Linked DNA regions of Caenorhabditis elegans. The protein of the gene in region 2 purifies or fractionates together with the protein of the main gene of each other region. This does not show direct contact. Each region holds a gene or a part of one and is shown on either strand. Other genes may lie near its edges. The genes, in order: selt-1.1 and ran-2.

Region 1 (15,289 bases), on a different chromosome or scaffold from region 2:
CCATTAGACATTGTTGAAATGACTTTGAAAAGAGCTTTGCCACGATCTATGAGCCCATCTTCGAAAAGAAGAAGAATGAGATAATCTTACAACGAATTGTGTTCTATACGTGTATTTACTCGCAATCTCAAATCACTGGCATTATTTTACACTTCTTTCTAAATTTTGAGTACACCATACTCTCATATTCCCAGTTTAGTAATTTCGATACTACTTTGATAATTATATCAAAAAATTTCTTTCATATTAATTTTTTTTGCTCAAGCTCGGTTTTATTAAATTGTAAATTTTACTTGTAATTCATGTATCTATTTATTTGTTGTTCGTTGTTTTCAAACACTCTCCATGCATTTTTTCTTGTTATTTGTAATTTACAAAATCTTTCAATTTAATAAATGTTAAAAATTATTTTTCGAAGAAATTCGAGGGAACAATTGTTTGATATATAATATGTACCTCAAAATATTATTAGTTAATGTTTTTATTAGTTAATTATTAGTTAAATCAAGTTTTTTGTTTTCACATCATCAACAAGCCTTTTCTTCGTTAAAAACCCGAAAAATGTATTTTTTTTGTTTTCAAGTTAGTTTTGCCAGTTCAAACAGTTATTTAATGTTGAGAACAAGTATTCTGCAACTTCTGAAGACTACATTTTATGCTTGGTAATCACATGTTGGCAGTACAATTGCGCTAGTGATCTCAATAATCTTGAACGTTCTCTGATCAAGTACCAAAGAAATCAACTCTTATCGATGAAATATTAAAGGTTACCAATAATAACTGAACTTGTGTTTTACGAAACTAAATCAGAATGTAGTTGACGTCACCGTTCGTGCAAGTATCAAACAATCATGACGCGTTGTCGTTGATCGGCCAATGACTACTTTCAACGTTTCTTCTACTATTTTCAATCAGATTTGTATCAGTGGTTTTAACGCTTTGCGCGTCTTCGAAAGACGTGATAAATGATTTGGACAGTATCTCTTACCGACTGCTGCTGACTGACTGCCCACAACGTTGGAGTGTCAAAATTATAAAAGTGTATGGACAAGACCATTTTTTAATCAGCCGGCAAACATTCAAAAATAACTCGTACTGCTGCAAAAGCTAAACTGATACTATTATTATATATTGACTTGCTTTGTTGACTTGTCAATTTATATTTTCTCCTATCTCTTGTTTTGGCTTCTCTGTGAATGACTACTCAAAATAATGTCATTGCTCTACGATTTTTATTATCTTGTTTTCTTTTATTTATTATTTGTGACTCTAAAATAACACAAAGCATAGTTTATGATCGTCTTCCCAAAGAGCTTCTTGGAGAAGCACGAAAGTTTGGAGCAAAAGGTGAGAATAGTTTTCAAAAATTTTGTAAAAATTAAACATTGATGGTTTCAGCTTACAAAGATTTTTTGTATGCTACGGAAAACGCTACAGCTCGTGAGCGGTAAGTTAGTTTTCACGATGTCTATTTCCACTTTAATAATTTCACTATTATCTTTGTTCTCAAAATCCAAAAGTTCAAATTAGTGAAGTATTTTTTCATCCAAATCTATCACTTTTAGTCCAACAATGTGATTACCACATGATAGTTCTGTGAAGCCTCTGCGCGAATTGCTTATCAAGATCACCAGAACCATTTGAACCAAAAATGAAATGAACGATTTTACAGCATCAATGTTTATGAAGACTATTTCATGGAGTGTAACACTCTTGGTCATGAAAGAGCGGAGAGAGTATTTCAAAATGTATACAACATTAAACTTACAAAGGATATGAAGGTAAGCCACTACTAGACAGCACACTGAAGAAATTAAAAAATTCCAGCTTTTGCTGACCTTAGGATTCAACTCATTTGCTGCACGATTTGTCTCAATGGAAGCGGGAGAGTTCAAAGAAGGATTGAGACAGCTTTGTGAGAAGTATGAAATGCAGCTTCAGTGTCAATATGGATTTGGTGAATCCAGGTTAGTATTTGGTTCTACGAACACTATTATGTTATTCCTCATATTTCGTAATTTCAGAACCGCAATTTACTGGCGACTGGATGATTTGAAAAACACAGATGGAAACCTGCGTATCTTACTTGATCGTCAATGCCCAGAACCGGAAATTGATAATACTGTTTACCATTGCTTCTCAGCTGGTGTGGAAGAATATACGAAACCTTGCTTTGAGGTAATTAAATGTTTTCCAGAAAGTAAAAATGAGAATTTTCAGGAGATGCTAGCATACAACTATACACGGTACTCAGCTGGCAGACGAATTGCAAGAACACATATCAGAGCTACAAAAGAAGTTGCTGAGTTGACTGCAAACAAGGTAAAAATCTTTTTCAAATTAACTTCATAAAAACCACATAACCAAAATGTTTTTTTTTGTAATTGTAAAAGTTTTTTGAAGGCATAACTTTAAAACTATTATACAAACCTTAGTCAGAAAAAATTAATAAAAAATACTTCATATAACATTTTCTATTGTTTCATTTTAATCTATTTGTTCTAAAATTGCTGGGAATTACGTGAACAAAGCTAAAACAACGGAATTAAAACTCAAGTGAAACTTTTTTTTGAGAATTGTGCAAAAAAAGATTATCTCGATTTCACTAGCAAAGTGTAAATTATGAACAAAAATCACATTAAAATTATTTTTTCTTTAAAACTTTTTTCATGGAAACGTTTTGTTCTTGCGCACGGCGATTCAGTAGAAACCATCAAACATGGACTCGTGAGATGTTAACTGCTGTATCTGCAGTAATGATTGTGCTGAGCTTTTTTACGAATTGTCATCACACAAGCCTAATTTCAGGCAACCATTTGTTAGTTGAATTGTTTTTTCTAAACTTTGTAGTTTAAGAGTTATGAGCTCTCGAAAAACTTTAAAAATCTATCTTAAAAAATAACTTTTGTTCATCGACGTGGTTACATCAAAAAACTAATTCGACTTCTCTTCGTAGACTTATCAAACAGTTTGTAGGATTTGGAGAACGACGATGATCAGTTTCTTACAATGAAAGAGCATGTTCAATCGGTTTTTGGGAAAGCGCTCCGAACAATTGCTGAGATAGAAGGAGAAAAATGTGATGCGTTGGACAAAGTTTTGAAATGTGTATTGCCACGTGTTGAAGAAAAATGTGGTCGAGAAGCAGTGACAATAATGGAATCAAGTATTCTTGTCGGGTATTAACCTCAGAAATAAAATATCCGTTCAAAAAACATTTTCAGCTACTTATCAACGCAGCGACGAGAACCGTTGGCTTCTCAGTTTAAAGGATTCAATGTAGAAACAAGCAAGAAATGCTTGAAACTTCATGAGCACATTGAATAGTTCAAATGCAACATTTTATAACTCTGTTCTCATTTTGAACTCAAACGTTGACGATTGTAATGGAATAATATTTGGTTTCAACCTATTGAATTTGCCTCTTCTTCTGTTCCCTCATCCATGATCAAATGACTTGTAGTGTCTGTACATACATCAAAACTGTTTGTGAAAAAATAAAAGTAAATAAATACCATGACATCGATGATGAACTTCCGTTTTTCACCAATTCCCTACCACATCTATTGATTCCCTGCGTATCAAATTGCGCATGTGACAGCAATTTTGAAAAAAAGGTAGGTACGCATTGTGACATAACAGGAGACGACTTCGGGCAACACCCACATTCTTTGTCTCACTTTCAGTCATTTCTTGGTTGATTTCTATTTACCGTTGGCAGAAGAATCGTGTTATTTTCAAATTTTAACTGAACATGTCGATTGGTGAGCGTTTTTTTTTAACATTTTAGATTAAAAAACATATCTTAGAACATGACGTTAAACGAGATGTGAAGCGCGTTGCAACTGACATCAAGCACACCATTCGCCCTCCATGGTACAGACGAGCTTGGAGTAAGTGATTTTTGAAGTTTTTTACAATTTACCCTATTTTTTCAGACCGCGTCCGAAGAATTTTCAAGAGATAATTTTCATTTCTATGATTGTCCGTTTTTGTTCGTTATGCATAATGTTTTGACTCCTTTCATTACAGTTTGACACATTTGTAAACGTTTATAATCTTCAATAAACAACATAAGATTTTTTTTTTGTAAAACCTAACTTATAATCTGACATTTTACGCTTAAATCAGGTTTTTTTATTTACGGTAAATAGAAAGTTTTTTCAACAAACTAAACTTGAAGGGGGTTTTTTTTGCATCATAAGAAATGGTTCTATACTTCATCTTGGACTTTGATATGAAATAGTAATTTTTCGATTAAAGAGTGTTACTGTTAGTAACTGCAACCGCTTTCGTTGCAGCAGAGAAGGTTCAGCCATGAATGATGTTTTGAAATATCAAAACTAAATTCAATGGGAATCCATGATCTCACCAAATAATAACACTCTGAACCTTCCAGTTTGATTATTTTTCAGTATTCTATAAAATACTTTTTTTATTTCATTTCAAACATTCAGTCGAATAATTGAGCCTGATTTTCAAATGATCCATTATCCCCGAGTTTAAGCAGTTTTGAGTTGTTAAAGTCTTGATTATTAATCAATAAAAACAAAGTTGTATTCGATCTTTGTTTAATGTATCTTTCGTGCTCAGATTTTATTAGGACATATCATATATGAGTTTTTATATTTGAAAAAAACCAATCAGTCACACACAATTTTCCATCGTCGTTTATACTTTTATGGGCGTTGAAACGACAACCCACATTTTCCCAAAAAATTTTCTTCCTTGACTACTCTGAATATATTTCTATTAAATTCATTTTTGTAAAATTTGATCCTAATTTAAGTGTAGAAAATGATAACAGCTCGGAACCGGTTTACACAAGGTTGTAGTTGTATGAAGTATTATAACAATAATGGAGACGTAAGTCAAAATCGTTCATTGTAAACCAGAACAGGCAATTCAAACATTGAATATCACAAAATAAATATGAAGGAATGTCATTTAAAGCATACATTTTTACAGAAAGTATTCCAAAAGTCTAAAAGAAATAGAGGAATGAAAGCTAGCGGTGTGGTTCTTGTTGCAGTTTCTACTGTTGCTTTGACTATTATTTTATCTAATGCGATACATCAATCTTACAAATCAAATTCAAAGCCTCTTCCTAAATGTAAGTAAAAAATAAGCTTGATTTAGTGAAATAGTGATAACACTCGGATTTCTACCTTTTTCTCTATTAGATTTTTTGTTTTATAAGCTAATTAAAATTTGATCAAAAATTATATATTGAACAATTAGTAAAGGAGAAACAGAGAAATAGCTCTTACAAATTGTATAATATTATATATAATTAATTAATTGATTGTATTAATAATTCATTCTATTGTATGTTTTTTAAAACGCTAGATACAACTCTGAGTAGTTGTTGACACATTAAAACAAATCAATTTTCATTCTTATTTCGAAAACTATATTCTAGTATCAATTGCAACAAATATCAAACAACTAATCAACGTTGACAACATTCGCTCCAATCTTCATTCGCTTACTAAAAAACCTCATGTGGCCGGAACAGAAAATAATTTACGAGTGGCTGAAATGATTCGAGATCAGATGATCACTCAAGGACTCGAAAATGTGCATTTCAATGAGTACAATGTAATGTTATCATATCCGAATTGGACAACTCCCAACATTATTGAAATACTGAAAGAAAATAGAGATTTGGTTTTTAGTACAACTGGACGGAGTGTTTCAGTTATTAAAGAAGAACAAAATGATCCACTGGCTGAAATTCAGTGGCTCGCGTATTCAGCAGCAGGCACAGTCGAAGGAGATATAGTATATGTGAACAACGCTAATCCAAGCGATATTGAATATTTAGAGTCGTTAGGAATTGATCTCAAGGTACATACAAATGTAATTTGAAAATTGGTAAGTTTATGTTTTTAGGATAAAATATTTCTGGCAAGGTATAGTTCTAATTACCGAGGGAATATTGCCCAAATGGCTGTAAAGAAAGGTGCAAAAGCATGTCTTGTTTATTCGGATCCAAAACAGGTAGCCAGTTTGGGAACAGGGCCAAGTGAGCTGTAAAAATATTATTTAAATTTATCCTATTTTTATTTTTAGATGAAACTTATGGAAACACAGACAAAATGCCGTCAAATACAGTCCAGATGGGATCAGTCTACATTGGCCTAGGTGATCCACGAACACCTGCGTTCCCATCAATCGGAGATCTTTTCAAAGAGAAAACTGAACAAGATGTAGTTTTATTTGTTCAACACTTGGGAAAAACTGAAATAAAAATTACAGTTGTTAGATGAAAAGAAAATACCTACCATTCCCATGCTCCCAATTACATATGCCACAGCACAAATATTATTTGAGAATATGAAAGGCGATGCAGTGAATGCAGATTTTCAAGGTTTCAAAGTGAAACTGTATATTTGTACAATACCAGCGTTTACATTTAGGAAAGTTAAATGTTACATATCGTTATGGACCTGGCTTGATAAACAATCAGAAACTTCGTGTTACCGTTCATGCTGAAAACGAAGAACGGTCAGTTATAGTTGTAGAATTGATAAGTAGATTGCGTTTGAATTTTAGAAAAATTCAAAATATAATGGGATATATCAAAGGAAGTCAGGAACCGGACAAGTTTGTTCTAGTGAGCAATCATTATGATGCTTGGACTTATGGGGCTGTTGATCCAAACAGTGGAACATCTACGCTTTTAGAAGTTTCCAGAGCGTTGAAACAATATCAAAATCAAACCGGCTGGATACCAGGTATTTTAAAAATGTTTCATCGCATCATTTCACTTGCTTTATTTGAGAAAAAATATGAACTAGAAACTCAGGCGATGTGAACAGACATGGTTTTTTAAGAGATATAATGTACATGAAACAGGGTGAGGATAAAATATGAATGATGTATAAAAACTTGTTGAGACATTGAAATAGCTTACTTTTTCTTTTTATTCAGAGAAGTAGAAACAATATATAATAAATTTTTAGCGCGATCAATTCTGTTCGCTCATTGGGATGCCGAGGAATATGGTCTGATAGGATCCACTGAGTTTGCGGAAGAATACCGTCTTCAATTAATGAGAAGAGCAGTTGCAGTTATTAATATGGATCTTATTGGTGGCAACCAGACTTTGTTAGCTCCGAGTATTGACTGAGTGGAAATTAAGATTTTGCAGACTTGGGTTATCGAATCCTACCGTCGCCAATGTTCTCCGGTCTGCAGCGGCAAATGTTGAGCAGCCAAATCCGACAGAAATGGAACAAGGGAGAAAAACACTATACGATTCCTGGTAATAAAAAATTTTGAATTGCATAACTAATAGTTTTAAGGAAATACTATGCGCCATCAAAGAACAATCGATCAACCCATCCTTATCAAAGAATCCCCGCTGGTGGAAGTGATCATCTTCCATTTTTTGATTATCTTGGTACGTTAGTTCATAAAACGACACATCGAAATCATTTACTATTGTTTAACTTACAGGAATCCCAATTGTCTTTTTCATCACTTCATCCCTAGATGCACCTCCAACTTATCCACTGTATCATACAATTTATGAAACACCATATCTGATTGAAAATATTATGGATCCTGGCTACAAGGTACAATGCAGTTTGAGACATTCATTGTAGGCTAAATATATCATTGCCGTTGTTGATAAACAAATTTTTGATTTTAAACAAAAAATTACAGGTTCATAAAGCCATTGCCGGGATGTTTATAGAATGCATTTTGAAGTTTACCGAGAGTAAAATCCTTCCTTATGAGTAAGAAAAATGTGTTTTGCAGCACTGAACATGTTGAAAATTTCAGTCTGAATGAACTTATGGATGACTCGATCTTTGAATATTTGCCAAAACTAGAAGATCGTCTAAATAAAACGTTAATGATTGGAACTAAGACTGATTATTTGCTGGATGCACAGAAACAGTTCAAACTGTTACAAAAAACAGTTTTGGTTTGTTTGAAATGCTTCCCAAACCAAACAAATATTATTTCAGGAACTTTCTGAGATCGTACAAAGAAGAAATGTCTCGAAACTTGAAGAGCTACCATTCGGCAGTAGAGTGGACATAAATAATCGGCTTATCGAGTAATGCAAATTGGAAAATAATTTTCGATTTTCAAAACTTTCAGATTTGAAAAATGTTTTATAAACCCACATGGGGCAATTGGAAATCCTCAAGCTCGACATGTATTGTTTCATCCAAGCCCTGATAATTGGTATGATGGAGATGCAATTTCACAAGTTCACGATTTGATATCAAAAATTAGCAATTCGACAGACAGCAAGGAGTTGGGAAAATTGTCGAGACAACTAGCAAAAGAAATTGCTCTAGTTAATGTTGCTTACATATGTGCCAAACATTCCCTCGGCGAATTTTTCACAATGTGATCACGTTTGATAGACTCTCAGAGTAATAATTATTTAAATGTCAACTTTTTAAAGTGTAAGGTGGAGTAGTGCAAGTGGGGAAAGTGTTTAAATGGTGAAAATGACCAAAAATAATTGCAAAACATTACAACAAAATTTTGGAATGTTTTTATTTACTGCAAAAAAATGATACCTACTCAGTTTTTGCCAGTGCGACATAAGTCTGGATTTGCTTGAAAGCTTACAGTTACAGAAATTTTTTAAAAACTCTTGAATTTTGGAGTGTTTTATTGCGATATTCAGACAAAATCCCCACTGGCGATGTTTACTATTTAACCAATAAATGTATTTTGAATACAGTAACGTTGAGAAAACTTGACATTAAAAAAACTCACAGAAAATTTCGAATTAGTTTTTCATTTGACCCGTTCGAATGTACATTCGTTCAAATTTCAACCAACACATTCCAACGGAAGTTTGATGCCTGTTCAAAAATCATGGACAGATTATTTTTTTAATCAGGAACGAGAGCATGTCGAACACATCTAACGCCGAAAACTAGTTTTTATCAGGAACTTCTGAATTAAATCCCTAAAATAATGTATTCTTACGAATAAATAATGAAACTATTTTTTAAACTCGTCGACTTTGCCAGTAATATTTGCATTTTATCAAAGCATATAAATATAACCTGGTAAACGAATCACTTTTCTATGATATAACGTTTTTCAAAAATCGAACATGAAAAAAGGATTACAAATATTCGGCGTTGTATTACTTCTAGCAGCGACAGTTGTTGTAACTGTACTCATTTCAAATTATGTACATCAGCTTTCAATGTCGAGTGGGACACCTACAATACAAAATACAGGTAAATTGAAGAGAGAAAAAAGTTTCCTATGGTTCTATCTGACTGCAAATGATTTATGAGACCACTTTGAAAAGTTTTTGAAGAGTTAATTGTATAGTATTTCAGTTTCAATCGCAAATAATATCAGACAGCTTATTAACACTGACAAAATTCGCTCCAATCTTCATTCGCTCACTAAAAAAGCTCATGTGGCCGGAACAGAAAACAACTTGCGAGTGGCTGAAATTATTCGAGATCAAATGATCTCTCAAGGTCTCGAAAATGTTCATTTTAACGAGTATAATGTGTTGCTATCATACCCTGATTGGACGACTCCCAACATTGTTGAAATACTCGAAGAAAATGGAGATGTATTTTATAAAACTACGGGACGGAGCATATCTATTATTGAAGAAGAACAGAATGATTTGGTTTCTGAAATACAATGGCTTGCATATTCGGCTGATGGAACAGTTGAAGGAGATATTGTTTATGTCAACAAAGGTACTCCAAAGGATATCGAGCATATAGAATCGTTGGGGATAGATCTGAAGGTTTATTCCTAGTATAAAAAGTATTAATACAGCAGAAAACTTTTTAGGACAAAATTGTTCTCGCTAGATACAGTTCTAACTTCCGTGGTAACATAGCTCAAATGGCCGTCAAAAAAGGAGCAAAAGCATGTCTTCTCTACTCAGACCCTATGCAAGTAGCAAGTCTTGGAACCGGACCAAGTGAGTTTTTCAAAATAATACAAGCAAACTTCAATCCGTTTTTTGTAATAGATAGTACATATGGAAGAACAGATAAGATGCCATCACATGCCGTTCAAAGAGGCACATGCTATGTTCAATCAGGAGACCCCAGATTGCCGGCATTCCCTTCTATAAAAAATCTCTTCAAAGAAAAATCAGAGCAAGAGGTTTTACAGATATTTAAATTATAAAAACGTAGTATTTTTCCAGTTGTTGGATGGAAAAAAGATCCCAACTATTCACTACTTCCAATTCCATATAGCGCAGCGCAAATTTTATTCGAAAAAATGAAAGGAGACGCCGTCATTGCAGATTTTCAAGGTTGTTTGAAATCTACATTTCCACCGAAATTACAAGTTACTTTTTTAGGAAAACTTGACGTCACATACCGATATGGTCCGGGACTGATAAATAATCAGAAACTTAGAGTAACTGTGCACGCTAAAAATGAGGAACGGTTTGTTTTTTATTAACTGGGCAGTTTTCGGATTTTATTTTAATCCTTAGAAAAATTCAAAACGTTCTTGGATATATAAAGGGAAGCCAAGAGCCGGATAAGTTTGTGCTAGTGGGAAATCATTATGATGCTTGGACGTACGGAGCAGTAGATCCAAACAGTGTCACATCGACCCTCTTGGAAGTAACCAGAGCATTAAAAGCATATCAAAATCTTACAGGATGGAGACCAGGTATTTTCAAACACTAAACAAGTTATGTATAATAGGATTTCGAATCACTTCCGTTATTAGAAAACATTTCAATATGTACACCCACGTGTTTAATATTATAACAGTTACTTTCACTCTTGTCCTGAAAATGGGTTTTTTAACGAGATCAATTCTGTTCGCTCATTGGGATGCTGAGGAATATGGTCTGATTGGGTCCACAGAGTTTGCAGAGGAGCATCGTACTCAGTTAATGAGAAGAGCTGTTGCATATATAAATACGGATATGATTGGAGGAAACCAGTCATTGTAAGTAGTGAAGTTAAAAAAGTATAATCTGAAACTTTGCTTTATCAGACTTGCTATGGCTAATCCTACAGTTGTTAATGTTCTTCGTGCAGCTGCAGCAAAAATTTCACATCCAAATCCGTTAGAAATAGAAAACGGAAGAGAGACACTATATGATTCTTGGTAGTAAAAAGTATGAAGAACAAACAATTATAATTGAATTCAGGAAAACATTTCTCCCTCACAAAACAATAATTCCTCACATCCATTTTACCAGCTTCCAGCAGGTGGCAGTGATCATTTGTCTTTCTTTAATTATTTGGGTTAGATTTTCAAAAAACCGAAATTTACAGAAAAACTAGTTCATGCAGGTATTCCGATGGTTTTCTTTGTCACATCATCATTGGACAGCCCGCCTGTTTATCCCCTCATATCATACAATTTACGAAACACCCTATTTGATAGACAATATTCTTGATCCAGAGTACAAGGCAATAAAATCCCAGAGTAAACCTCGACAATTATCATTTTTCAGATGCATAAAGCTATGGGCGAGATGTTAATTGAGTGCATTTTAAACTTTTCGGAAAGCAGAATTCTTCCTTATGAGTAAGCACTGCAATTTGCGTTTTCTACCAAGTAGAAATAATTTCAGCTTAAAAGAGTTAATGGACAGAGTTCTTGATGAGTATTTCCCGAGAATACAACAACACATTAATAAGGCTCAGACTTTTGAAAACATTTCTGAGTACTTGACTGAGCCCCAGAAACAGTTTGAACTGTTAGAAAAGACAGCAAAGGTATGCATGCTTATGAAAACTTCAATTTTCACATATTAGATTTTTCAGATTTGAAAAATGTTTCATAAACCCGCATGGTATCCTTGGAGATCCGCAGAGTCGTCATGTGCTCTTCCGCCCGAGTGCGGACAACTGGTATCGTGGAAACGCAATCTCTCAAGTACACAGCTTGATATCAAAAATGGAAACTTCAGTAGACGACGAAGAACTCTTAAAATATTCTAAGCAATTATCCAAGGAGATTGCTTTTGTAAATGTTGCATTCATTTGCGCGAAACATTCCTTAAACGAATTTTTTACTTTGTGATTTGTTTTTAAATAAACAAAACTAATACTCTAGTAAAAAATATTATTTCTGAAAAATTTCAAATGAAAAAACTGGTTTCAAAAATTTGATTCCTTAATGGTAAATAATTATTTAAAAAAAAACAAAACGTAACATTATTTGAATAGAAAATCATTAGAGGTGAAATAAAAGTGGCGAGAATTTTTATGACTGCAAATAATTTACACACGTTGAGAAACAAATAAAAAGTTAATTTAACTTAATAAAATAAGGCGTCGGATGACGAGTGAGGGAATGAATCAGTTTGAGCAGCAAGAATACATTGTAAATAATTATGGTAACACGGTGTCAAATTGAAAACATAGCGTTTTAGACAGTCTGTTGGAACTCTCCAAATGATTCTGTGTTGACAGGAGCTTTTCCGAGCACCGCAAGTTGAGCATCGATAAGTTGCATGAATTCCTGAGGGGATGGTACACGACCTGACTCGATTTTACTCCAGATTTGTTCATTGCCAAGGTAAACTTCGAATGCTCCAGTAGAAATGAGACTTTGTTCAACAAGGTTGCCGAGCATGAACACCAGCATACAGGACGACATCTTGTTTCCGTGTGCGTGCTGCAGAATCTGTGGGTATCCAAGACCAAATCTCTCAAATGGATTTATTCCACCTAGCACCAGCACGAGAACTGCCATTTTGACGAAACTGAGAGCCTAAAAATACATTTTATAAATAATCCAAGTCACTTCAAATTGAACAGTACCTGAGCAACATAAGCTTTCCAAAGAACCGGTGCAAAGTTGGCTCCTTCAATTGGCATATTTGGATACTTTTCTTTGGCAAAAGTGGTGAACTGGTCGAAAGCTTGCTTATAACCACATGAAACACTGAAAAATTATGCATAATTTCTAGTAGAACCTATATATGTATAAATATTACCAGTAGAAAATTCTCAATGTTGGAAGATCCTTGGCGTGGTGGACGGCTGTAGGCTTAACAAATGAGGATTGCTCCCGGACTTCAATATGATCTTCTTCGGTTCCTTGACTGAAAAAATTAAGTTTTGTAGCACTTGTTTGAAAAATTTCAGTTAACCTGTTGGAAACTAATTATCATGAACTTAGAAATTTTATTGAGCACCTTAGAAAGCTTGAAAAATTGAAAACGGTCATGCGTTAGATTTTCACTTTTTTGAAAATAAAATTGATTTTAATTTCACAATTCGACCTTTAAAAAAATAATACCTGAAGCTTTGTGAATCTGTTTCGTCTCCAAATTCTGCTTCAAAATCGTCCTTTTCATGTACGTGGTTCTCATCGTGTGAATGCTCTTCCGCTGAAACAGCTACTTGGGTTGTTTATTTCATTTATGATGTGTCACAACTTACTTCTCAGCACATCACAAACTGACATAAAGAAGAGAACTCCTATGATAAATACCCCAAACCGTGACATCTGAAAAATCAATAATGGCAAAAAAAACATCAAAACACTATAGAGAAGGAAATGAAATTTTTCATCATCTTTTTTGCAACAAAAAAAATTAGATAAAAATGTCAGAGAAGAACACATTTGATGAAGTGTTTTACACTAGAAAAAGCAAAGAAAGCGGACGCGCAGGAGAGTATGATATGACAGAAACACCCTCTCGACACACAAGCGGACAACACAGGGTATTCCAAACGAGCGCGCAGCACCAAGACCACTGCGGAGTCTCAGCGATCAATACTTGACTCGCCCGTAGCAAACGCGCCCCATCACTCGCCAGTGTCTGATGCCTCCGCGCCTCACACACTCTCTCGTTCTCTTTGAACGGTTCTCGGTGTGTGTATGCGTGTGTGTTTGGAGGACGTTGAGTCACCTCATATTCGCACACTCGCATAACCTTTAATTTTATGTGCACAGTCTTCTCTTTCCTTGTTTCTCATTTTAACTCGTTTTTTATTGTTCATTGGATATGATATGGGAGGAGTTGTTTTGATGTGATCAATACGCTACGTTATAGAATTAGTTTCTTTTTGAGATTCTTAATGGATTCTTGGTTTCCGTGAAGGTCAAACAGTCAAACACAAGAAATCGGTTTCCGAGAAAGTGAACTTTGTTGTCGTGCAATTGCAATATCTTATTGAGACTTTTTTACAATGAGTTAATTTCTTATTTTGGTACTTGTGTATTACATACTTTCATTTTAAAATTAATGAAAATGCTCATTGATTTCTCCGTTTAAATTGAACGTGATGTGGAATTTTCCTCGTTTGGCTCAGAAATGCTTATTTTCTAATTGTAAGCTTTAAAATATAAAAAAATTTCCACACTTTTTTATTTTTACAACTTAAAAATTACTTTAAAAATGAGTGCATGTAATACACAAGCAGTGTTTGCAAGTTTAAACTTCCTTTCAAAAAAAAATATGTATATCTTAATAAATGTTTTTCACCCCCAGTGTCTTAGAAAAATGTAATTGACCATTTCTCAAATCTAATGACAAACATCTTGCTTTTGCAATTCATCGTGGATTCTCATTATTTTTGAAAAGCATCTATCTTCTTTTCGTGCTAGCATCTCAATCTCAAAAAGTTACACCACCAACAATACGCATCTCACATTTGCCGAGGTGGAGTGGTGACAAACTAATTGAATCGCATCCGGATTCTTCCACTTCTCACTCCTGAAGGAAAACAAAAAAAAAAGGAACTTGCCCTTCTCATCCATCTTTTCCCCCAACCTAACCCATCTCACCTCAAATGCATTAGTTTTATGGGCTTTTACGACAGATATCAATGACTTGAAGAAGGAGGGGGAGTCACTACGTGTGTATGTGTATGTGTGTGGATGGCCTTTAGACACTAACATCCTCAGATGTTCTAAATTAACCGTCCGTACACTTTGCAATTTCTGGGGTCAGTGCCCACGACGCGTTTCCTCTGGCTCCACAATGACTCATCCGCAGATGTGTGAGGTCTCCCTTTCTCCGAGGTTTTCGTTTTTCAAATGCTCATTTGCATTCAAAACGATTCGTTCTTCACATTTTTCTTTCAATTCTCCAAATTTTCGGTTTTTGTTCCACGCTTTGTCATGTTTCTCTTTCATCACTTTGTTCGCTACCCATTTTAGGATTCTTTCCCCATTATTTTCTATTCTGCGTTTGTATTGTTCTAATGGCTTCATGCCACGTCACGCAACAACATCGTATTTTGCAATGACCCTGGAAAGGGCCTGCTTGGCATGACAGTATTCGGGTGCCAGCAACACCTGTTATCGAAACACTCATTATTTCAACCGATGCCCC
Region 2 (18,202 bases):
TGAGCTGGCCGTAATTGAGCTTGAACATGAACTGGGTTGGCTTTGCTACTAAACAGCTTTTTCGCTCATATTGAGACTCTATAACTTCAGCATTCTCGACCATTCTCACTGCATCAATCGATTTTTTCTCTTCTTTTACTGTCTTCTCAAAATTTGCTAGAGCTTCCTGTTTCAGTGAGTCGATATCAGCCAAGTCGTAATTCGTCGATCCCAAATTAAAATTTTTCCGTCTTCCAGCTCCTCGTCTACTGCCGGTGTTTCCATCATCTTGACCTTTGTTCTCGACTAAATCCACAACTGAAATCGTCAGTTCATAGACATGATCTACTTTTCGACCATATACGGCACACGATCCTTGAATAATCCGGCATGCTCGTTGAAAATCGAACAATCTGTAAGTTGTCGCTGCATCCACCTGATTATCTGTGTCTTCACTTTCTTGTCTGATAACCTCGAGGTATCCGGCGAGTGCCTGAAAGTCGAGCAATTATTTATTTTATTTACCGAAAAAGAAAAGATACAACCGTGAAAAAAAATTATCCTTACTTTCAACACGTCGATTGAGAAGTTCTCGACAAGATCTTTTGCGGGTGTGACGAGCCATGCTAAATCTGTCGATTCTTGACCTGGAGGAGCATTCCTAGTCATTTGTACCTGAAACAACAATTCCAATGCTCTGGCGATGATTAACTATAAAAAAGATATAGAATGGTACGAAAACCATAAGGAAGTTATAAAAAACCTGAATAGTATTTTAAAAACGAAGTATTTTATTTTGATTGAAAAGAAAACAGGAATCTAATCTATTCGAGAAAGAAATAACAATTTTAAGTATTTTAAAGTTTCTTTTGTTCTGGAAGTTTCAATCCAACAATAGCAGCAGCCTCTTCAACACTCTTCTCGCCACCCTTATATCTCTCTTGAAGTTCATTAAGCTGTCGGGTTCTAAAATGAATGGATATTGATTATTACTTTCTTATTCTCATAAAACAAACGAACCCTTTAATATAGCTCAAATAGAGTTTTGCAACGCTCTCTGACTCGTTCTCGGCTTTTGAATATCTTCTTGTTGTAACCTGGTCGGCTTTCATTTGCTCCATGAGGTATTTATATTGTGCCGAATTCGGGGAGAATGTTTTGTCGACCTTTTTCAGTTCCGAAATGATGTTTTTGATGGTGTTGAAAGCGGTCACTCCTTTTCCAACAGCAGAGGCCATACTTTAATTTTGAAAATGTACAAAAAAGGGATAATAAATAGCACAATAACACAATTCAGACAAAAAAAGAAAACAGGAAAACGTTCTCAATTCAAACTGCGCGCGTGAGGCGCGCGTTGTTTAGCGAAACGCGGAGCATCGTTGCGGTACCATTTGCGCGGAAGTTTGAATCTAGTTTTTTGTGGCAATTGATTTTGACATTTTCCAATAATGTGGTAAATTATAAAATGGTACATTTATTTTAATAGAAACATGCCCAAGCAATATTAAATACTTTTTGAATGTAATTAATCAGCCTCAGTGAAAATAATCTGTTGAAATATTATCCCATTCGGAGATGCCAAAATTTCCAGTGCCAATCACGAATAAAGTGTCATTATTTGTCTGAAAACATTATATTTGAAATTCAATTGATTATTTTAATAACCTTATTTAATTGTTCTTCTGGAATTTCCACTGAAGTCATCACATGATGATTTCCGAATTTTATGAAGAGATGCGAGTCCAGTAAATGAATTGAGAATTTATAAAACTTTCCAAATTCTACTTTTCTTCGTGCTTTGAATTCAGCAATTATTGAACGGTCAACGAAATCGGAAAATATAGTTACTTTTTTATTTGAAAATTCAATCTCAACAAATATTCCACGACAGTTTATTACTTCTATGTCACATCCTGAAAATGTAATAGATTTTAATATGAATCACAACACTAATTACATACCACTACAATTACTCCTTATACCTAGAATGATGGATTTAGCTGTTGAGTGTTTTGGAATATTGACCTCGGCGTTTAGAATACTATTCTTCTTTCGATACCTAAATGGAAGGAATACCGTATACCGTATTTCCTCTATTAGTTTTGCACCCCTTTGCTCAACTTTGACACCTCATATCTCCTTTTTGGACATATAAATAATTAACAAACTACAAACTACAGAAAAAACATCTATCTAAATTTTTATCAGTTGACAACTTTTCTATAGAACAAACTACTACTGAGATATGAGCTGCCAAAGTTGAGAAAAGAGGTGTAAAAATATTAGAGGGAATACGGTATACTGTAGTTCCTCATAGGTCAAAGTCATCAATTCTTACGCCATAACTGCATATGGAGTTCGAATGTGTGAGGTGCACCAACTAATTGATGGGCGTGTCACTTTCTGTACCGCCCGTCCATTTCGTACCACCCATGATCCTTTTTGTGGCATCCAAAACTTTGGCTCCTCGTCGAATTCATAATTTTCAAAGTCGTCGTGATAATTCAAAGGAACCAATGGTGTTTTTATAGTAACTCTTTTCGGAGTTGAAACTGGAAGTGTAGTGAGTATTCCAAATGAATTAACAGGAAGAAGAATGGTAATTGTAGAATTGACAGATTTTGAAAAGAACTTTGAAGGTCCAAAGTTTAATGACATATTTAATCCTTGAAATGATGGAATTTCAGAGAATTTAAATCGAATAAGTTGACTTGGCTTGACATGGTATGGCCGTGGAGATGAATATTCGCATAAAGATTTCTTGTAACTCTGAAATTTTTTGAATTAAATGTTTATTCTCAAATCATTTGAAGCAATTTCTCATAATTAATATTAAAGTCTTACCATGGTTTCTACAAAAATGGTGGAATCTTTTCCATTTGTATAAGTGACATATGTTCCTCCACCATCAAATCTACCACTACTTTCTCTTAAAATCTTCCATCCTCGCTTAACATGAGAAGTAATGTATTCTGAAATAGTCGTGATTCAATTTTTTTGCACATTATTATCATACTTAGAACATGAAAAGCTTTTTCAGTTTGAAACTTATTCTCATCAATCCGTGCGAGACCACATCTATACCAAGGGAGTTGAGGATAAAACGCAGACATTAAATGCCAAGAAATCATTCTGAATTTCCACTATATTTTGTGTGTTCACAATCAAAACTTGCCCAGTAATATTTCCATTTATAAAATTCCAATTCATAGTTCTCGCCATACATCCTTCCCCGGTGTCCCTGTTGTCTGTACTATAATCTTCGCTTGCCCAAATGACTTTACCACTTTTTTGAACATTTTCAGGAATTCGACCGCCTGGGTAATGAACTCTGAATCAAAAATATTTACTTTGTGTGCTCTGAAACGCTGAAAAAGAAATAACAAGGTTTTCTTCATACCCTATAATGTCATATTCATTGATAAATCGTTTGTCAAGAAGTCTTGAATAACTGTCATCCATTCGAAATCCTTCACCAGCCACAATCAGAGTCTCATTGAAACCATTGAGATTGAGAATTTTTCGAAGTTCCTAAATATCAAAACTTGATATCACACTAGATTGCAGTGTTAGTAAGATGTGTTTTTCAAAAACTTATATGTCTTGTGCTACTCTTAGGATACTGTAGTGTAGAACTTTCTTTTGCCACCCCTACTGTAATCGTGATGTATCTGGCTTTGTGAATTAATTTGAGAGTTTTGATATGTGATTTGAGTAATTGTAGGAATTACGGTATAACTCTAAGGTATAACTTTGTGAATATTTCATTAAATTCCAAACAGATGGACGGTGCCCCGTAGGATTTAGCGAACCAAAATTTGAAAAAGTTTTCGTTATATCTACCTTAACATAGCTCTCTGAGAAATTTCTCTCATTCCAAACTCCAACACAAAATGTATCAAAATTCCAGGTGTCTCTTCCGATTTTCAACCAATTCACAACATATTCTGCAGTTTCTGTCACATTATCATATGGCGTATTACCAATCCATCCAGGAAATGCCCATGGAAGTACACAAATTGGAATTGTCGGATTAATTTCACGAACTTCACTTATTAATTGAAATTCATAATTATTTTTTGAAATCTTTCCTTTTTCGGATTCGTGTGATGATTCGGTGCCTTCAGTACTTTGGTCGTCACCACCCATTTCAACTTTCAGCAGTTGTAGACCATTATCTTTCTGGAAATTATTCAAGAATGGGAAGAGTAAAGGTTAATTTTAAATTTTATTTAAGCTCCTGTATTATATTTATCTAATTTACAGACGCAAAATAAACTATAACTCACATTGAAAAGGCTCTCTAAAACTTGTTTTCTATCACTTTTCTCCGAGAAATATGTGAACAAAAGTTTAGAAGTCGCCTGAAATTTTCGTAATTTCTCTGAAATTGGACTGAATCCTACCCCTCCACCACTGACTGCACCAAATCCATCAAAAGTTTGAGCAGATCTCCATGATTTTATGTCTATATTATTTGTTTTAGTTGCAATACTTGGTAAAATCAAGATAATTTTTATAAATATTGAAAACATTGGGGATGATTGAAGGAATGATGTTGATAAACAAAAAATGATGAATTAATATAAACTTACTCATTTGAAATTTGATATCTGTTTTCGTATTACTAAATGTTATTTCCCCTCAAAATTATTTTTGAATTTGAGGTTTCGATACAGGAACTGTAGAAAATGCTTTATTCATCTCAAAATTAAAAAAGTTCACAAAGACATAAAACATGTAATCATAAAAACAACTTCGTTCACAAAAATTTACTTGAAAAACGGATTGAAGCATTTACACGTACAAGAAAGAGATTTAAAGTATTAAACTAAAAATTAGTGGAAATTAGAGAAACAAAATTAAAACAAATTGATAACTCGTGTATACATTGGAAGTTGAAGAAATATATTGTTCACGATACGATGAATAATACATGTATTGTAGATCCAAATATAAAATAACCACGGCTTATCTGAAATCATGTAAAAAAATCGCGAAGACTGGGATATCGTGTAGAGAAGCTCGATTATTGTGAAGGCTGAAAAATTGAAAAAAATAACCATAAAATATAGTTGTGAGACTTACGAAAAAGCGTTGAAGGAGAGCCAGCTCCAACTTGAAATGGCCGCGAGCAACAAGTTCCGAGAACAAACGTGAAATCACTTGTGGATCGGCACCATATCCCCAATCAGTTTCAGCCTGTAAAGTCTGTCTCATATATTAAACGTTTTTTAGAATAAGCTTGAAAAATACCTACCTTAACTCCTGTTCCTGCACATTGAGCAACAATATTGTTAACTAATTGAGTTGTGGCCGGAATCGGGTTACGCTTGACAGACTCCACTCGGCGGACGATATTTTCTTAAAAATTGAAAGTAGTTATATTAAAATATTTTTATATTTCTTACCTGCAACTTCAATAGCTCTTTGCAAAGCTGGCTCACTCATTTTACAACTTTTGAGAGGTGCTGAAAGTTGAAGAATAACACGTGCAGTGTCTTCCTGGAATCTGCTTTCAAAGTCGATATCCAGACGATCAATTCGATCCATTGCAAGTTTTAACTGTGATTCTCCATTGTCGATAATCTGAATCTCCGCTTCCTCATCATCATCTTCATCGTCATCATCCAAATCTGCATCTTCCGAATCTGACGATTTACTATTGTACTCCTCTTGATCTCCATCCAAACTTCCCAAATCATCATCTTCATCTCCAACATTCACATTTTCCGGTGCCATTCCAGCAACATCAGAGAATTCATCACCAAACGAATTGGTATGAATATGAAGCACTGGTTTCGGTGTAAGACCATCAAACTTTGACCATTTTTGAATCAGGAGCTTAGCGACGGGTGGTGTGAGCTCGTTTCCGCAAAGGTAAACATTTTTAAGATGGCGATGATGTTGAGGATTCAAGTGATCAATAATGTAATTGCATCCAGCGTCACGAATCAAACAGTCTGACAAATTCAAAACTTCTAACTTCGGCCAAGATTCCAGAGTTTTTGCAAGAGCCTTTGCACCCTTGGGGAGTACTGTATTGTCTTCAAGCCAGAGATATCGAAGATTTCTGTTGTGTTTCAATGCAGCCACCAGAGCACGAATTCCTTCTTCATGAATTCCATTTTGACGAACATCAAACCATTCAACCGTTTCAAGAGCCTAAAAATAAGTTTTAGAAATTAAAGTGTTTAACTATAAATACCTTAAAAGTAGCCGCCAGTGCATGTGCTCCTGGATTTTCCAAACGATTTCTTCCAGCAATAAATGTTTTCAATCTCAATCGATTCTCGCCTCCCACAGCAATTGACTTTCTGAGACACTCAGTCAATGATTTTGCGATTTGTTTTCCTCCTATTCCTAATCCATTGTTGTTAAGCTTCAAGACTTCCAAAGAGAATGATGACGGTGATTCCAAAAGATCCTTGAGAGCATCAGCTCCAATTGGTCCAAAGGCGTTGTCAGACAAGTCAAGCTCTTTGATCTTACATCCAGCAGTCATCATAGCCTTTCCAAGAGCTTCTAGAATCGGTGGAATTTCGTTTTTGAGGCGTCCAGTGAACAAATCACTCCAAAGACATCTCTCGAGCTCTGGATGACTCTCTAAAGCTTTTGCAATCACATTTCCTGCCGCAATTCCAAGGGTGTTTCCTCTTAATTCCAATGCTTTCATAGAACTTGCAGCTGCAATCACTTTAACCACAGGCTCAGCACTTTCTGCAGTATCAAGCTTTAATGATTTGTCCAAGAAAGAAACCATTCCATTGCCATTGCTGTTTTGCTGATTGTCTTCAATCTTCATACATCCGAAACCTTTGTTCATCAGATCATTCATCATTTCATCAGCAGAAGCTTCGTGTAAATTCGAACGATCTATCACGGTTTCACGTGATGTGTTGAAAGCATCTGAAAATATTTTTTTAATAATCATTTTTCCATTAAAAGTCGCTGGGCTGGGCTGTTATTTGGCACAATTGTAATTTTTCGGGAAATTTCGAAAAATTCTTAATCAAGTTTGGTGAAAAAATTTAGATTTTTCAAACAAAAATCGATTTTCCAAAATACTTACAGAACTCACCTCAAAAAGGTAGGTACCTCAAAAATTTTTTAAAAAATTGTAAAAATGAACACTCGAGTTTTACAGGTATCTAAGCTAGTAAAAATGCTTTCAGTAAACTTCAAAAAGGTTTTTTTTATTTTAAGTTCTCTTTTGCCGCTATTTTTTTAGAAAAAATTGTTTCAACAATATGAAAAATAAAATTACCTTCTTCCATACTTGCATCTTCTGCACCTTGTTCTTCTTCTTCATCAGACGATAACAATTCATCATCACCTCTTCTACCAAAGTCAATATTTCCTTTTCCGTGTCTTGCCTTGGCACTGTCGAAATCTTTACCAAACATGTTCACAGAAATGTCAACTTTTCTGAAAATTATTTAATGTTTCAAGAACATTTGAATTTCCTACTAAATGCAAAGCTTACACGTGGCACATTTTAGGAGAATTAAAGCAAGCTCCAATCTCATCAATAACATCAGAAGTGATATTGTTTCCACTGAGAACGACTTTCTTCAGACAATCTCGATTTATTTTGTCGAGTTCTGCTATGATGGCAAGAACTCCCGGATCATCGCAGACACAATCACCAAGATCCAAAACTTCGATAAATTGAAGATCCGAAAGAACTTCAGAAATTTGAATTGCTCCTTCTGGACAACAGAAATTATCATTGATGTCAATAATTCTTAATTTCTTATTCATCCGAAAAGCTTCAGCAAGTGCAATAATTCCGTCATCTCGGATTCCATTTTGAGGAAGGCGAATCTCTTCAAGTGTCCCCAATTTCTAAAAAATAATTTTGAGTTATTATGAGTTTAAGTTATTTATCTTACAATAAATGCGTCAGAGAGGGCAATCGTGGATTCAACTTCCAGGCGATTTCTTCCACAAACAAATTTCTTCAATTTCAGTGGTGTTCCAGCTTTTTTCGATGCATCAATGAGTGAGCAAAGAGCTTTTCCGACTGTTTTTCCCGCCAAACCTAGACCGTTATTATTGAGAATAAGGTTTTCTAGTGAGTACAAGGCTGGTGATTGCAGGAAATTGTAGAGAGCTGCAATTAAAAGTTGAGATTAAATCTAAACTTTATTGAATAAACATGTTGACAATCCAGCTCCAAAAGCATTATCCGATAGATCAAGAGTAGTAAGACGACATCCAGAAGCCGTCAATGCCTCTCCAAGAGCATCAAGAACAAGAGGAATTTCATCTTTCAGTCGACCCGTGAACATATCACTCCATATGCATTCCTTTAACTCCCTCCGCGTTTTCAGTGATTCTGCGATTAATTTTCCAGCCAAAACACTGAGCGTGTTACCACGAAAGTCAAGAACCTCCAAGTTGAGATGTTTTCGGATTTGATCAATTACTTTCGAAACTGAAAATAGTATATTTAGTTTACTGTTTTTAAAAAAACGTTTATTACTTTCTTCCTCGGTATCCAGTTTTAGTTGCTTTCCAAAAAAGGAGAGTGTATTGTTGAGGTCCATCTCGAATAAAAATACCTGAAGATTATTTACATTTTGAGATTCCATAATGCGGATACAAACATGATTGGCATGAGCATCCCGAAATTTTTTTGAAGTTTTATTAGAAATACTGGGTGAGCAAACTGGTAAAATAGTGAGAAATAGGCGGGGTAGCATAAATATTAAATTGAATTTGTCTGTTTTCTTAGAGACAATTGGGAAAAAGTAGATGCGAGAAACTAGATAAGAATATGAAAGTGAAGAGAGAACACAGTGGTTGTAAAAGATAGAGAAATAATAATGAAGATGATAAGAAAATGACAATTATGAAAACTTTTACGAAAATAACCAGTTTTTTTAATTGAATTTCACTGCTAAAAACTAAATTAAATTCGGAAAATCAGAAAAATCTTTTGAACATGTTTGTTGAGATTCTGATAATTTTCGAAAACAAAATAATTTCGCAGAATTAATTTCTTTCGAATTTTCCCGAAAAATAAAAGTTACTTTGAATTACATGGAAATAAAGTTTTGGAAAATGTGAGCATATTACATTTTTTCGTGAAATTTCGAATTTTTCAATAATTTCTATGTGATTGCGAAATCTAAACAATTTCAGTTTAAAAAAGGAATCGGGCTCGATATCGGGGATTTGCCAAAATTGAAACAAATTTACTTCTAAAGTTTAGTAGTTTTTGAGTAAACAATCACAAAAACAGTTGGCACAGAGACCTTAAAAACAACAAAATGAAACACCTGATTGCTCGAGACCGACTTACTCGTTGAGAAAATATATTTGAGAACAATAAGTAAAATTTTCATCGAATAAGTTACGATGTTCGGTTTTAGTAAAACTTTAAGATAAAAAAGAGCTCTGATTTTATACGGGAAACATCACGTTAAAGATATGTATAAAAATCAATAAGTTAGGTAAAAAAACTTGAAAAATAATAATAATAACAACCGTGGAGATCATATACAAATCGGGAAAAATGGTAAAATAAAAAACAAAACAAAAAATGAAGAATATAAAATAATCAAGTCTCCATCATCGAATCACGATTCAACTGATCAATAAATCGTTGTTCTCTTCGTTGTAAAATCGGACCGAATGCTTCGAGAGCTGCTTGAGAAATCGATCCAACTTGTTTCATATCCGGACGGAAGAATGCCGATTTTGGTAGAAGAGCCTGTTTACAAAGTTGCTCTCCAATCCATTTCAGATGACCTTTGATCCATGAAAGATGATTTCCAGTCGTATTCGCGATACATTCATCGAGAACTGTGTCGATATCGGTTGGGAAGATCAGACGACGAGATATTGGCATCCAAATTGGGAAAGAATCACCTTCTGTAAAATGAATTTTTGTTCATGTTTTTTTTTCTGTTGATACTTACTGTCAGCAGGATACGAATTGATCAAATAGTTGCAGAATTTTCCGAAAATTGTCTTTTTCTCCACATCTTCTTTGCTTCTAACCCGGTTCCACTCGTCATAATCCACTAATGCTTTCCACGTCTTATCAATTTTCTTTTTCAATTCATCCGAATCCGGATGCACAGCAAGAAGATCAGCTAACAAATGGAATGCTCTTGCGAACCCTTCAACCGAAGCTTCATCATTCGGCTGGACAGCCATATTCCATTCGAGCATATCTTCCACAGACATCATCGCATCCAAATCGTTGCCGAAGCATATTTTCAATATTTCGGTCGGAATACGTTTACGATGCTTCATCTCCGGATATCGTCGTTTGTAGAAGTCGAGAACCTCTGAAACATCTGTTCCATCGATACTGGAACATGCACAATAATATGCTCTTGTTAGAAACTCGACAAATTTTGAGAAGCTCTTAGTTTCTGCATCAGCAAGACTCATCAAAGTGAGGGCCGCCTTTCCGAACTGTTTATTTGCAATTTCTCTTGAATATCTTAATTCTTTGAAGTTATCCAAATAAGCATCCACTCGACTTCCACCTTGTTGCAAAAGTACATCATTTCGTCCATGCTCTTTCAGATAATCACATAGATACATCTCGAAATCGTCTTTTTCGAACATCTTCTTGTATCTTTCAAAAGTCTTCTGCCGAGTGCCAACATCAGTCGTTAGATAATTTTTGACTAACGTTCCAAAGTCCTTGTGTTTCTCTGCCAGTTCCATAGCGTCTGCTGGCTTTCCAAGAGCGATCATTTCTTGCAAAACTTTGTCGTTGTCTGGTTGAGAGTCACTTTCAGACAGGTAGAAATCGTAGATGCTAAAATTTATTAATTTGGAAATATTCGAAGCAGAAAATTTCCTTTCTTACCTCAAAATATACATCAAAAGTCTTGCTCTCTCACTATCAGTAGATGATCCATTTTTCAATTCCTCAATGATCTTTTCAGCAACATCACGATAACAAGATGCAAAAGTTTCGAGAGTCCACCAAATAGGGAACTTAGGAATAGCAACTTTCGTTCTGCAACTTTCATACAAATGGTTAAAGTCTGTTAACAAATCAAAACATACTTTCTCCAACTGATAATAGTTTCTTTGATACCAGAAAGAAGTTCACATACAGCGTGAAACACTTCGAATCTGTGTGATTTCGTCTTTCCGATCACATTTTTTTCCAATTGTTGAGCAGCAACAACAGGAATATGATGAACTAGTCCACATCGACCGAATAGAGCATCTTTATCTTTCAGACCTAAATCCTGGACTTCTGGAATTCTCAAAACTTTCTCGATGATTGCGTCGAAAACTGCAGAATTTGTTTCGTTTGAAGTTTTCCACGTCCATATGGCCGTTGATGCAGCGACACGTTCGGAGACCTGAAAATTCAGAAAATAAGTTTATTTTTCTAAGTGTAAATTTTTACTTCTCCCAGCATTGTTCCTCCGACACGTAGCGATAAGATTCCTCCTCTGCTGATTCCCAGGGGTGAGCTTATGATTCTTTCATACACTCCCATATGCTTCAGGAAAAGCATGATTCTGGATGTCAACACTCGCTTCGCGTGGAGTTCAGTGTCAGTTTTGTTGGCAGCATCCGAATAATCAATTATTGCGTAGAGAAATTGAGAAACAATACGAGCAATTTCCTGATCTGGCATTTTGATAATCGCCTTTAATTCCTCTTCCGACTCTGCCATATGTTTTTCTGCGAAAAGCTCGAAAGCCCGATGCAATGATTGATAAAGTGGAGTCTTCGGAAGTCCAGATGCAACCATTTCAGACAAGAGTTCGCTTAAAATTGGCCAATCATCAGTGCCTACTGACAGAGATGGTACGACGACTTGCTCATGTGTATAGATCGAGCTGTCTGCAAATCCACGTGGTAGAAGACGAATTGTAGAGACACCGGATTCTAGCATCATAATATAGACATATTGTGAGCAAATTGCATATCCTAGAAGTTGATCTCGGGGTGGAATGGAAACATGACGGTATAGACTTTCCGGTTTTTTCGGTTTGGCCAAATCGAATGGAAGGTATAGAGATACCGCTGAAAAATATCATCAAAAATTAAATTAATTTTGTTATGTAGTACCAAAGTAGGGATTGATGATAATGATTCCATCTGTTCTATCAGCCTTTTTCGACTCTGCAGTATTCTTGGGAATACACAACGTCAGATTAGAGTAGATCGAATCGTCAATCTTCGAAAAAAGGGCGCGATGCTCATTCATTGGAACTCTTGCTGACCAAACTACTCCGGTGGGTTGCTCTGTTTGCCAGTTAGCACTCATCCAGACCATGAACATGTGAACAGATTGAGACTCTTCATGAGTTCCACCGATTAGAATCATCAGACCATCTCGGAAGACTGCTGCATCAATCAACCTCGCTCGGACTTTCAGTGGAGTTCTCTGAAGCATTCTCATATTTTGAGAAATTCACTTATTATTTTTAAGTTGCAAAATGCAAACCTTCAAGTCCGCTTCGAAAAACGATGCAATCTTTGGTTGGAAAAATTCCTTGGTTTTCAGTGACCAAAGTTCACATGGTGTGTACATATTATAAACTGTCAGAACATCTGGAGACACTGTTACAACCAGTAAATCTTTGGATTGATGTTGGAAACTGTTCGTAATTAGTGACGTAGATTCCTTGGATTCTCCTCCGAACATTATTGAAGAAAGACGTCTTCTGAATCCATGTGCTTCTCGACCAGCTACTTTATTGCATTCCAATGCACCCGTTTTTGCCGAATCTTGCCCTTTTCCATTCAAAAAATAGACAGTTCCTGATGTAGTTGTCAGTAGGAAAGAAGCTGATTTTCCATCGATCGGCTCATCAGTCAATTCCACCCGCAGAGCAACCTCGTTATTGATATCCAAAACTTCTTCAATGTATGTTTGAGATTCAATTGAAGTCCAATGTCGAAGAACTCCTTCAGGTGAGACAACGAGAATTCCTGGACACGGGGTTTTGTTTGCACCACGGTGGACTCCATCATATACAACAACGCACTTTACTGAGCGAGGAAGGCCACTGGTCGGCAACGGAAGCTGAGTGGGGATTATAGCACGATGGCTCGACTGAAAGTTCAATTTAATTCGAGAATTGTTATTTTTTAAATCTCACCTTCGCCCGCTCCCAAATGAAAATTTGATTTCGAGACAGAACCCAGCAGTACCTGTCATTGAGTGATGCACAATTTGAAGTCACCTCGGATCGATGAGCTGAAGCGTGCCAATCTAAATCAGTTGAGAAATTTCTGTTTGATCATTTTTCGACTCACTATTCAGAAAGGCCTCTTTCACCAGTGCCGGGTATTCTATGCTGGATACTCTATCGAGAGTTAGTTCGAGATCTCGTCCCGACATTCTGAAATTTCAGTGATTAGAAAAGGGGGCGATATTTAGAAAAGAGAAGAAATTGCAAAATGAAAATGTTCACATGTTCCGAAACAAAAGTTTCGCGCCACAAACAGATTTTGAATTCAATTTCGATGCGAGACCCTTCAAAATGTGGGAACTCTGCGCCTTTAAAAACACGGTATGAAATATTTTTGTTTTTGTTTCCAATTTCCAAAAAAACGTTCAAAATATTTGTTTAAATCAATTAAATAGTTCAAAACTGAAAAATATTTTCGTTAAAATTCAAATTCCCACAATTTTGCGTGTCAAGCACCCAGTGTTGGCGCGTTTCTTAGCAGGCGCACTATTCGATCAGAACTGTGCACTCGCCATTTTCAGTCTCATGAACTAGAAAATTAAAAGCTCAATTTATTGTTTATATTAACCCAGCGAAAGATGAATGAGGATAGATTAGATTTTCGATACCTAAAATCTGGAAATGAGGGAATAGTGAGTGTTTTTTTTCAATTATTTTTCAATAAAACGTTTTTTTTTGTTATTTTAAGCCTTCTCTCTCCTTCTGTCTCATAAAAACATAATTTCTGACAATTTCAGATGATCAACAAAACAATTGATCCATCGCAAGCATCGATGTCAAATTGGAAGCCTGTTGACGACGGTAATCTGGAATTCTTGGAATTAAATTTTCAGGAAACAATTCAAACGAATTCTCCCTCAAAAAAAAAAGAAAAAATGAAAAATGGAAGAATATTCTGCAAAGCTTTTTTTACAGAAAAAACGCATAACCTCCACTCACAAAATCATCGGAACAACCGTTTACGGACAAGTCGAGAAACGACGGTAGCCGTCGCGGAATCTGCAAAGAAAAATGGAATGCAGACTATACACAGGGTGAGAAAAATTGAGTTTGAGATGAAAATTTTCCCCAACTCCACTAAAAAAAACGAAAGAAAAATGCATTTCTTAGTCAGGTTCGAATTTTGTTGTTCCAATAACAATGCAAGCACATCCAACACACCTGAGCGATCGATATCTGGATGAAAAAGATGATATTTTGAGTCGTGAGTTTAATTTTTTTCAATTCAACTATTTAAAATTTGCATTTTAGAACACAAAGCATTGCCTTATTGTTGTCACTGCAACGCGATTATTAAAACTTGGAGGGGATTCGAATATCACGTTCTCTGCACACATTTAAAGTAAGAATTTCAATTCAAATTATTTAACTAAATATGTAAATAAAATTTTTGAGCATTCATAAAACTTCAAACATTAAGATATCGCCCCTACCGTTGTTTTCATTGTAAAAAAGATGGATTTTACACTGAAGAAGAAGGTCGTTTTCATTTGAGTACAAGACATCCGAAAGATGAAGTTACGGTATGGAGCAATATAAACATTTTTTTAAAAATTTATATATTTTCAGCTATTCAAGGAATACGATCCCAAAAAAGAGACAGCCGCCCGAGAAGCATTCAAACAAATTTTTCTGATATGTAGAGATGGAGTATTTATTTTATCTTTGAGAATTGAAAAGGTTAAAAAACATTTTGCAGCCAGAGGTAACTAAAGATCGAGTTCACGAATGGGAGAGAGAAGCAGAAGTAGAAGTTATGAAGTTCGCCAACTTGAAATTCAAACGGCCAATCGTGTTAGTCAGAAAATTGTGAGTTTACAAAAAAAGTGCCGAAAAGTTTAGCATAAAACATTCTGGAATTATTGATAAACATCAAACTTTTAATTCTGATAGTAAGCTGATTTTTATTATTTTAATTTTGAAACTTCAGAACTTCACACTCACGACAAGTGCAAACGCCCACATATCAAAATATTTCATTGGTAAGGTATTTACAACGTCATACTTGTGTTCTAAAAATTTTGTTTCAGGATTCCTGTCAAATTCCACAGACTCGCCCTGAACTTCAAAATATTGCAATAAACTTTCGTCCGATGTCTGTCACAACTCCACATCAAGATCTATCCATTAATCGACGAGGTGTCTAAATTGTTTAATGTATTTGCGGGTCCTTTTTTTTTTGATAAATAAGTTCATAATTTGAATTTTTATACTTACTGAAATTCTTGAAATAATGATTTTCGATTTTCATTATTCATATTTTAATCTTTATTCAATTTTCAATTACTTCTCATTATTAACTTTAAAAAAATCTGAAAAAGAATTTATTAACTTTTTCGAGATTTCCATAATTCTTTTTCAAAATAACCAATTCCAGTTTAAAGTGACCTCCACTCATAACTAATTCCAAACGTGGCGGAGGGAAGAACCTCTATAAATTGTTCGACCTTGTCTACCCGCTTTCTTACACGCAATAAATTCATAAAACATCTTTTCCCTAATCGCACGAACATTTAGATTAGAATCGCCAACAAAATGCCGGTTTCTTTCTTATTATATTCTTTTGATTTAGTTGTATATATTAGCCGAAAATATCGAAAATCGGAAAAAATCCAATTTTTATGTTTGGAAATCGAGAAAAATCGATAAAGAATTGCTAACAAAATCAGTAATCTTAAAGGCGCGCCTTAATTTGTTAGGTTAGTTCGCAATGCGTGGCGAGACCATTCTAAAATAAATGCACCTCCTTGAAAATCGTGGAAGTGGAAAAAAGTTATATTTTCTAATTTTTGTTAGATTTCCCACGTGGATTTTAATTTCAAAATGTTTCCACTGTATCTACTGATGCAACTGCAATAGTCTCTGTCCGCCTGTACAAACATAAGCTCTTTGCAATATTCTTCAATGCTTCTCCCTCCGAAATCCCTGTGATATTTTCCGTTGTCTTCCCCTCTAAACACCCGTTCTCATCCGATGAATATTTGGCGCAAAACGGAAAAGAAAATCGACGTGTCCATCTACATGTACTGTGTTCTGTATATGTGTCTGCGTCTCTCTGAGTATAGCTCTGCTTTGCTTACTTTCCCATGCGGTCCGTATTGTCTTAACAGTTCACTTTATTTGCTTATCATTGATTAGTGGACCAGCTTGGTATTAGAAATTAGTTTTCTGAATTATTCAGATATATTTGAATTTCACCACTTTTATTTTATCCACCTACATTTCACATTCGAATAATAAAATAATAACAAATCTCATTCTTTCTTGCCACTTTTTATTCCCTCTCCTCGTTGGAACAATGGGAACAACGAGACAAGCAACCGAATATATAATTCCTTCCTTTTACAGTCTGTGTCGATGTAGTTTTTCCTGGTCTATAGTTAAACTTTCACACACGTGGAATAGGGTGTTGTGATTTCAGTTGGTACACAGGAAATGTATTTCTTTTTTTTTTTTTTTTTTGGCTTTTGAAGATTTGTTTAAATTCTAAATTTTTTGAAATAGAAGTGGTTTTGACCCTATAGTATCAGTAATCTTCTCTATATTTTTGCGAATAAAAAACGCCAAAGATCTGGATCAATGAACTCTTCGACCTTTGTTCTAATGCACAATGAACAGTCAGGCGAAGAAATTGCGAAAGAAAGTGTCAAACAAGGGCCGTGTCCATGTTTGCCTTCCGTTCATTTCCACGTCAAGACAAACTCAACTTTTTGAGTGTTTTCCCCAATTTTTTATATTGATTTATTTTTACTGTTTTCTTTTAAGAAAAGTTAACTGACAATCAAAGCTGAGACAAGAAAAATTCGAGAAACAAAAAAAGTCAAATTTGGATTTATTTCGATACTTGAACATTTTTGAGTTTGCGCTCTAACTGTAATTATTCTAGCAAATTAACCTTTGAAAAATATATCAAAAATAAATACTTGTTAGAAAAAAGTCATTTAAAAAACATATTTCTCAAAAAAATATTTTGGAAAATATGTAAAATGTTTGAAGTACACTAAGGATTTTTTTTTTGCATTTTTTGGCGCTAAAATACCAATTTTTTTGTAAAAAATTTATAAAATTGTTCTATTGTTTCACAATTCAATCCAGATACACATTGCATAAAGAAAGTATGAGTGTGTGACAAGTCTTCACCACCTTTTTCTTCTTCTTTTCCATCTAATCCCCCACTTGATTCACCCCATCTCCTTCTCGAATTACTGCTTCGATTTCTTGCCTCTGCATTCTGCATTCTCTCCAAGCAATACCTCTATTTCCATATTTCTTTCAATTTTCAGATGACAACACCGCCAGATGGCACGTCATCATCTTCGTCTGCAAAATTCATGTCGGCGGTTAATGGTTTGGTGCCGTCTACCATTTTTGATCGAAGTAAGTTTTTTTTTCTATAAATCATACAAAATGGACAGTAATGACCGAATATGACTGATAAAAAAATTATTTTATGATTTTTTCAATTTTACAAAAATAAAACTGGTGAATATGACAAATTTTAAAGCATTTTCCAGCAGAGGAAATTATTAAAAAATGTTAATTGAAAACGTTTAAAAATTAAAAAAAAATTCCTGAATTTTTAAAAATAGATTTTTCAATTTTCAGAAAAAAAAAACGTTTAAGTTGTCAGTAATGTCAGGGATTTTCAACAAAAAATTAATAAACATTGAATTTTCGATTTTTTCGTTCAATTTTCCAAAAATGGGAGGTTGTCATCAGTTTTTCAAACCAAAAATTAAAGAAAAACAAATTTAGAAAAATAATTTAAATTTTTTAACAGGCTTATTCGGCAATTACGGTCTATTTTTTTTTAATTTGAAGCAAACCTAAAAAAATTAAAAAATAGTTGGAAAATTTTGGAAAACGAGAAACTATGAAAAATCAAAATGAAAAATCTTTTTAAAAATAAATAGGCAAAAATTTTGTTATTTTAACAATCACAAAGAAAAAATCAACAAAGTATTGAAAAGCTAAATAAATTTTTTTCGTTTTTCTCTTTCCCGGCAGAAAAATTGATTTTTCTGTCGGAC

Evidence for each region.
Region 1: the proteins of ran-2 (region 2) and selt-1.1 fractionate together in Caenorhabditis elegans (co-fractionation; one large-scale study listed by BioGRID). This does not show direct contact.

What each region holds. Positions count from the first base shown.
Region 1 is NC_003284.9:11,533,041-11,548,329, forward strand, and holds selt-1.1 (Thioredoxin reductase-like selenoprotein T homolog selt-1.1), read right to left. Parts: upstream 13,456-15,289; coding exon 13,389-13,455; intron 13,346-13,388; coding exon 13,246-13,345; intron 13,049-13,245; coding exon 12,941-13,048; intron 12,889-12,940; coding exon 12,765-12,888; intron 12,715-12,764; coding exon 12,370-12,714; 3' UTR 12,051-12,369; downstream 1-12,050. Other genes in the region: Sex determination and dosage compensation protein sdc-2, read left to right, coding at 1-84; C35C5.8 (Saposin B-type domain-containing protein), read left to right, coding at 1,197-1,347, 1,399-1,447, 1,673-1,781, 1,828-1,967, 2,025-2,178, 2,221-2,322, 2,977-3,179, 3,225-3,327; C35C5.9 (Group-specific protein), read left to right, coding at 3,755-3,764, 3,810-3,893, 3,939-3,967; gcp-2.2 (N-acetylated-alpha-linked acidic dipeptidase 2), read left to right, coding at 4,798-4,866, 4,969-5,113, 5,423-5,850, 5,896-6,028, 6,076-6,212, 6,262-6,373, 6,423-6,510, 6,559-6,740 and 8 more.
Region 2 is NC_003281.10:7,924,169-7,942,370, reverse strand, and holds ran-2 (Ran GTPase-activating protein 2), read right to left. Parts: upstream 8,837-18,202; 5' UTR 8,688-8,836; coding exon 8,592-8,687; intron 8,547-8,591; coding exon 8,468-8,546; intron 8,420-8,467; coding exon 8,141-8,419; intron 8,096-8,140; coding exon 7,875-8,095; intron 7,828-7,874; coding exon 7,466-7,827; intron 7,408-7,465; coding exon 7,247-7,407; intron 6,889-7,246; coding exon 6,188-6,888; intron 6,145-6,187; coding exon 5,391-6,144; intron 5,344-5,390; coding exon 5,240-5,343; intron 5,191-5,239; coding exon of another isoform or gene 5,182-5,190; coding exon 5,068-5,181; intron 5,021-5,067; coding exon 5,009-5,020; 3' UTR 4,663-5,008; downstream 1-4,662. Other genes in the region: Condensin-2 complex subunit kle-2, read right to left, coding at 1-472, 547-648; C29E4.12 (Protein FMC1 homolog), read right to left, coding at 837-945, 1,000-1,217; C29E4.10 (Putative galactocerebrosidase), read right to left, coding at 1,515-1,601, 1,645-1,892, 1,941-2,038, 2,318-2,748, 2,824-2,951, 2,996-3,111, 3,155-3,310, 3,380-3,510 and 3 more; npp-15 (Nuclear pore complex protein 15), read right to left, coding at 9,548-9,861, 9,909-10,765, 10,817-10,975, 11,020-11,324, 11,372-11,997, 12,043-12,361, 12,422-13,033, 13,080-13,192 and 1 more; C29E4.13 (C2H2-type domain-containing protein), read left to right, coding at 13,910-14,206, 14,283-14,376, 14,424-14,514, 14,593-14,695, 14,742-14,822, 14,872-14,981, 15,103-15,154, 15,203-15,319; Putative protein tag-250, read left to right, coding at 17,456-17,549. UniProt on the Caenorhabditis elegans protein: GTPase system comprising ran-1, ran-2 and ran-3 is essential in nucleocytoplasmic trafficking. Ran-2 is a GTPase activator for the nuclear RAS-related regulatory protein Ran, converting it to the putatively inactive GDP-bound state.